Daphnia pulex: one gene and its partner. Each later gene encodes a partner of the first gene's protein in a complex. Links are inferred from orthologs where the notes say so. Each region holds a gene or a part of one and is shown on either strand. Other genes may lie near its edges.

Region 1 (2,809 bases):
GTTCTCCTTAACAGGTGACCTCAGCGACTCCTACCATGCCACCACGACCGGCTGTCTCTGACACTCCTACGTGTTTACAACAGAATCCGTTTAGTGCAAATAATATTGGTAGAACACCTCAAGCTCGACCATCTCTTTTTAACATGCCTACACCCGATACACCATATGGAAGGCTTTTAAACGTAATGTTTTAGTTTGTAATTTTTAATCGTCAGAAAGGAATCAGCATTTTTCTTCTTTGTAGACGGACCCGTCACCCGAAACTCGAAAATTGTGGAAACATGCATTGGAAAATCGAGTTCGTTTGACGCCTCGCGCGGACGAATCCCTTAACGTTACCCCACAAGATATTCAGAAAGGAGAAATTGTGGTTTCCCCCGAAGACTCGGATTATTTCTTGAATTTACGGAAAAAATTGCGTCTTGATGAAAGTGGAGTTGAAGCACAAGCCATGTGGAAACCGGATGAGGAAAATTCAGCGGCAGCATCACCCTTAGAACCACCAAAGCCACCTTTTCATGGAGTGGTGGCATTCATACACAAGAAAGTTGAAGACCAAAGAACCGAGTTGGTAAAAGCAGTTGAAAATCTGGGTGGCAAGGTTCGTTTCCAACACTGCGAGGAGGTAACTCATTTCATATATCAGGGCAAGCTAGCTGCATCCAAAGAGATTCGAAGCGCAAAAGATTGGCACCAGAAATTTGTCTCACCACAATGGATCCTAGACTGTGAAGATACTTCGAATCGTCTAGAAGAATCGCATTATCCACCATCTTTGAATCCGAAAATGGCTTTGTCACTGAATTTCAATTCGCAACCTGCACCGCCGTCTAGTTGTACCCAGAAGCGACGCCTTCCTGCCAGTTCCAGCGAAACGGGTACTCCTAGAATTCCTTCCCGTAAGCGCTTATCATCTGATAGTGAGCCACGTGAAAACGACCTTCTTGAAACTAATGAAGAACAAGAGAATCTTGTCGTCCCAGACGTAGAGGAAGAAGCATGCAAAGAACTTTTGCAACTAGACCAAGTGCTATCACGTTCAGCTGAGCAGATTCCTCTGCAAAAGGTTACAAACGTTTCGGGGGCTAGAAACGGTAGAGGACCTGAACACGTCTTCGTTCCCGCAACGCAACCTCTGGAAACGGTAGATTCGCAATCTGCTCCAATTGTGTGGGATCTTCACGAGACACAAAAGCCAACCGGTTCACAGCTAAACAATACTCAGACGTATCGTGTCATGTTCTCTGGAATGGCACTAGACGATCGTGAAAGCTGTACTGCTGTTATCGAAGAGTTGGGAGGAACCGTTCTTGAATCCAACCAATACGACCCAACGTGTACTCACCTTGTCGTCGCCAAAGTTGGATCTAATGAAAAATTGTTGACGTCGATCGCTGCTGGAAAATGGATCCTTCATCCAGAATGGCTGATTGAAAGCGAAAAAGAAAAACGTTTCCTTGAGGAAGCTAAATTTGAATGGGGCAATCCAGAAGCCACGGTGGATTACCCAGAATCCGAATCCATTACCGAGGACGAAGCTAACATTGCTGCGGCTGCATATTATTGGCGTATTAATCGCAGTCAAGGAGTATCTGGTGGCCCTTTTCACGGAATTACCGCTGTTTTATACCTTCGCGAGAAAAATGCTTCTTTCCAGCGTTTACTTGAAGCTGGTGGCGGAAAGGTGGTTGACCAAGGGTATGATAATAAGGATGTTCAGAGTTTTCTTTCATTCATTATTTTCATTTATTTATACGTTTCTTCTAGTTCGGCTTTGGAAAACAAGAAGACGAACTTGTGCATTTTGGATTCTCGCGAAGCGAAAAAGTTGCAGTTGTCATCGTTTGCCAATAGAGGCATTTATTGCGTTCCATTGATTTATCTCAGAAATCTTGTTCTGGCTACTGACAAGAAGTTAAAATGGAGCAAGTCTGTTTTACAAGAATTTCTTCCTTATCTCGAAAACATGCCTTCTTCTTAACTATCTTTCTTTTTATTTGAATAATCTAATGTGAAAAATACCTTTTTTTTTTAAGAAAATGTTTAAAGATACTTAGATAAGTCCATGAAATACAATCATTTCTAGTTTCCTGCAGAATTGTATTGATAACTAGTACATAATGATGACAAAACTACCAAAGACGCTTAGGCCCCATTGTTGCAGATGTAAGTATCCAGGTTTTGTCTTCATCTTTCTTCATTGACATTTGTTTATGCCTTGGTTTAGTTTTACAAATGATATGAACCCTTCCCTGTCTCACCACTTTGTAGCAGTCTTTGCAACGTTTCATCGGTTTCCCCACAACTTTGAATCCACAACTAGGAACTAGTGAAGGAACAGTAGGAGTTAACAGTTGATTTTGCACATTCAGAGTTTGGGGAATTCTCATTGATAATGCACTAAATGTTCTTGACACTGTCACAGGGAAAACAGCAGGTGAAAACATAAAGAGTTGTTGCAGGTTGCTGCACACGGGTCTTACAATTTTTCTCAATGCATCCATTTCAATCGTGAATCTGCTGTAAAAATATTTAAAACTGTTACATTTTTCAGTACTCTACATGAATTACATTAAAAGATAATGAGTAGTGCAAATGCAATAATTTTTTGGATTGCGCAACGTATCAAAGCAAGATTTAACTCTATTATAAACTTACGTAATTAGGATTCTTGTGAAGGTTTATCGTTAGAGAAAATTATCTTTTTATTTCATTATTTTACTGAATTGACTGGTTTGATTTTGATTGAGACCTTTTTTTCAGTAACTAAATCAACTAAATTCAGAAACCAAAGCAGACGAAAACGAGA
Region 2 (3,828 bases), on another chromosome or scaffold:
TGTTGTCCGGCGATGGAAGCGTCGAGTCACCTGTCGAACAGCCGTTCATTCAACGGAAGCAAAAGTACGTACAGTAGCCCGCTTTGTCAGGGCCGACAAATCGAGATAATCGCATGCGATTGTTTGTTTGTTTGTTTGTTTTTTCTGTGTGTGTGTGTGTGTGGAATGGCGCGTTCAACTCAGTAGCTTGTTTACTCTTGCGCATCCATTCCAGGATTCCCAAGATCTTTTTTGGAACGCGGACGCACAAGCAAATCACTCAAGTGGTCAAAGAATTCCGCCGCACCGTCTACTGCAATACTCCGTGAGTCACACACGATGCCCTCGACAGCTATTATTTATTCCCTCTCCCAGCTTACCTTCATTTGAATTTCCTTCTTAAATCTTAAGACTTGAGACAGATATTTTTCTTCTTCTCTTATCATTCCATTCGACTTTGGCTTTGTCGATCGAAATTTTACAGGATGGGCGTGCTGGCCAGCAGGGAACACACCTGCATCCATCCAGAAGTGTCGCGTTCCGCCAACAAAAACGAAGGTTGCAAAATACTAAATGACCGACGATTGGCCAAACAGGATCCGCAGCAGAAGGTAAAAGCGCGTAATTAATTTCCTCGTCTCTCGTTGCGCGACCTTCTTCCCCACCCCGATTCCAGCGAAAAAGGGAAATCGAACAAGCTACACCGTAAAAGTGTAGTATACCTCTTTTGTATCTATCTAATGATTTCCGAGAATTGATCTCGTCCTCCTCGGTAACAACTGTTCGCCATCAACCTGTTACCTGCCAGCCAAGAGAATCACGCATTCAACTTGTTTTGCCATTTAAAGAACGATCGTGATCGCCCGAGCGTCAAATACGATCAAATGAGATCAAAGAACTTGGGTGGGGGGATAACAAAAAAAAAAAAAAAAATGAAAATGACTGGTTTCAAGTTTAATTGCCCGTCATTAGAAGACAGTGAAGAAGGAGGAGCCATGAAACCATCCGGTTATTCAAGACGCCGACGTTGAGACATGATACGCTTTCAAGATCAAATTTTTACTTCCCCCTTTTTTTATTTTATTTTCATGAAAAAAATTTCATTTCTAGTATTTCTTCTTTTCATTCATTCAATAAGAAAAAAAGGAGAAGAAAACGAGGGGAATGGTTGGTGGGTTGATTCTTTTGCCTCTTTGAAGGCGGTCTCGTTTTCTCGTAATGAATCCTATCTTTCAATCCATTATCCAACCGTAGTAATCACCGCAAAAGCGGCATTCGTATTATAACCCCCCTGCAACTTTTTTCTTCGTATTTAGATATTTCTCTCCACCTTCTTTTTCCCCCTATTTTTCGGTTTATTTCATTTTTTTGATTCGACAGCGCTTTGTAATGTGAGCCAAACATTTTGTCCTGTTTTTTTTTCATTATGATGACAATTATTCTCCGTATCTTTCGAGACGATCCGCTCATTTCTCCGAAAGGTTTTTTTTTTCGTCCCTATGACAAAGTGACCATTGTTGTTGACTCAGTTCATGCTTCCCACAATTTTTCTAGTCTCATTTCATTGAACTGTGCGATGGAACACTGGTCGAATTGTTCTTGGCGGACATTCCTGACAAGTTGTCCACTCACACTGGAACTTTAATGAGTCCATTTTTCTCTTTTTTTTTTCCTCAACTCTGTACAGGGTGGTTGTTCATACCGTTGGCAAGGCAAAGACAAGCTCAAGACGCAAGCTCAAATTCGTAACTATGGACTGGTCAGTGGTTGGGTAAGTCAATTTTTAATTTATTATTGTGGGTGATTCAAATGAAAATGATTTTTTCCTTTTTTGCGGGGGATTATTTTGTTTGATGTTTAGGATATCGAAGATTTGGTGAGTTTAGGCCGTCGCATTCGGGTTTGCCCATATTACGCTTCGCGCGACTTGTCGGAGCAAGCGCAGATCGTCTTTAGCCCTTACAATTACCTGATTGATCCGAGGGTACGTCAGTCGATGAAGATCCCAATTAATGACAATATCATCATTCTCGACGAGGCTCATAACATCGAGGATTCTGGTATTAAGCATTAATTCTTATGTATTAAGCATTAATGCTTATGTACTTAATACATTCACAGCGCGCGAATCAGCTGGAGGTTCTTGGTCACAAGAGGATTTTCGCTTGGCTCTCAATGACTGCGAGAAAGTAAACAAGTCTTAAAAATTGAATGCTTGATGGGCCATCCCCCTATTGTTTCCGTTCTGTGTCTTGAGTAGATCGGTAATCGGCACCCGACGATGGAAAAAGAAATCAATAGACTGGCCAAATTCTCGTCTTACATGATGCAATGGATCGGCAAACACGCCACGAACATGAAGAGTGTCGGCTTCGACCGGGAAGTTCACGTGATGACCGGCACGGAATTTGTAGCCAATTTGAGCGTCGACGGCTACGGTCCCGAAATGCTGGTCGAACTCAAGGCGATAATCGATTATATCTTCAACGAGCAACTCGAGTCGGATTGGAATGACAAAGAGGGCAGCCAGGATCCACAATTGTCGGGTGCCACTCAAACTCTCCTCGAAGGATTCCTCATGATTATGGATTTGATGTTGAACGGTAATCAAATTCACCGCGACGACTACCGGGCCGTAGTCGTTCGCACTGTCGAGAGGAAACAGAAAAAAGGACCTGGATCGTCATTTTTCGGGTGAGTCAATGCCAGGAGACGTTGTAAAATGCCTCACTTTGCAATCAATTATTTTGTTGGAAATGGACTTTTCAGGAAAGCCAACATCGCCTCGCAGTGGACATACGCCCTCAATTTATGGTGTCTCAATTCGGCTGTCGTGATGCATGAAATCAAAGAGAGTACGCGATCTATCATCGTCACATCGGGCACGCTGTCACCCTTGGCCTCCTATCAGTCGGAACTCGATATCGATTTCAAGCTCACTCTGGAGGCCAATCATGTCATTCCAGCCAAACGTGTGTGGATAGGGACCATCTCGCAGGGGCCTAGGAACACTCTGCTCAACGGGACATTCAAGGTGACCGGGACTTTTGAATATCAGGTAAATCTCCTCTTTATTTTCTATTCTCCGATGTTGTACCCGCGATGGTGTGGTTTACGCAACGGCAGTTGACGTTTCTGACCGTCCAACTCTTTTCACTCAAGGATGAACTCGGCCGGTTGGCTTTGTCCGTCTGCCAGACGATTCCGCACGGTGTTTTATGCTTCCTGCCCTCTTACAGTCTATTGGAGAAGCTTGTCACTCGATGGCAGGACACGGGTCTATGGCAACACCTTTCCAATTACAAAACCATCGTTTGCGAGTCGCGAGATTCACGCGACTTTGAGGAAACGCTCAAGAGTTTTTACTCGGCCATCGAAGACAGCGTAAAGTAAACCAGCCTACTTTCTTTCTCCATATTTCAATGAATAAAAATTGTGTTTTTTTTATTAGTGCTCTGAGTTGCTTAGACTTGGACGGCTCGGGTGATGGGTCTGAATGCCCGAGCAAAAAAACTGGTGACGTACCCAGCGGCGCTCTGATGTTGGCCGTATGTCGAGGCAAAGTCAGCGAAGGACTTGACTTCACCGATAACAATGCCCGGGCCGTCATTTGTGTGGGAATCCCTTTCCCAAATTTCAAAGATACTCAAGTCGAATTGAAACGCCAATACAATGACAAATTGTCCGCCTCTACACCGTTACTCAACGGAAGTGAGTGGTACGAGATCCAAGCCTTCAGGTTAGTTTTTCTTTTCAAATTATCTTTCGGTCTATCCATTACTTTTCCATCAAATAGTACAGGTTTTTTGTTTGTTTGTTTGTTTGTGAAATAGGGCATTGAATCAAGCA

What was found.
Region 2: the proteins of DNA topoisomerase 2-binding protein 1-A-like (region 1) and Fanconi anemia group J protein homolog are in contact, whole or in part, in a crystal structure (PDB 3AL3), measured with the Homo sapiens proteins. The link is inferred for Daphnia pulex from reciprocal best matches to the Homo sapiens genes TOPBP1 and BRIP1. Residues at the interface, in NP_008958.2 of Homo sapiens: Leu1272, Ser1273, Ser1274, Leu1275, Asn1276, Pro1277, Arg1280, Gln1298, His1311, Leu1313, Arg1314, Asn1315, Glu1316, Lys1317, Leu1319, Gln1366, Arg1407, Gly1410, Phe1411, Leu1414, Thr1466, Glu1467, Ile1469, Ala1470; in NP_114432.2 of Homo sapiens: Ser1129, Tyr1131, Phe1132, Thr1133, Pro1134, Glu1135, Leu1136, Tyr1137, Asp1138.

The regions. Positions count from the first base shown.
Region 1 is NC_060022.1:4,608,906-4,611,714, reverse strand, and holds the end of DNA topoisomerase 2-binding protein 1-A-like, read left to right. Parts: intron 1-14; coding exon 15-182; intron 183-244; coding exon 245-1,698; intron 1,699-1,767; coding exon 1,768-1,981; 3' UTR 1,982-2,095; downstream 2,096-2,809. UniProt on the Homo sapiens protein: Scaffold protein that acts as a key protein-protein adapter in DNA replication and DNA repair. Composed of multiple BRCT domains, which specifically recognize and bind phosphorylated proteins, bringing proteins together into functional combinations.
Region 2 is NC_060028.1:9,966,498-9,970,325, forward strand, and holds part of Fanconi anemia group J protein homolog, read left to right. Parts: coding exon 1-64; intron 65-214; coding exon 215-304; intron 305-463; coding exon 464-590; intron 591-1,666; coding exon 1,667-1,750; intron 1,751-1,840; coding exon 1,841-2,039; intron 2,040-2,100; coding exon 2,101-2,168; intron 2,169-2,239; coding exon 2,240-2,673; intron 2,674-2,748; coding exon 2,749-3,037; intron 3,038-3,141; coding exon 3,142-3,368; intron 3,369-3,430; coding exon 3,431-3,718; intron 3,719-3,812; coding exon 3,813-3,828. UniProt on the Homo sapiens protein: DNA-dependent ATPase and 5'-3' DNA helicase required for the maintenance of chromosomal stability. Acts late in the Fanconi anemia pathway, after FANCD2 ubiquitination.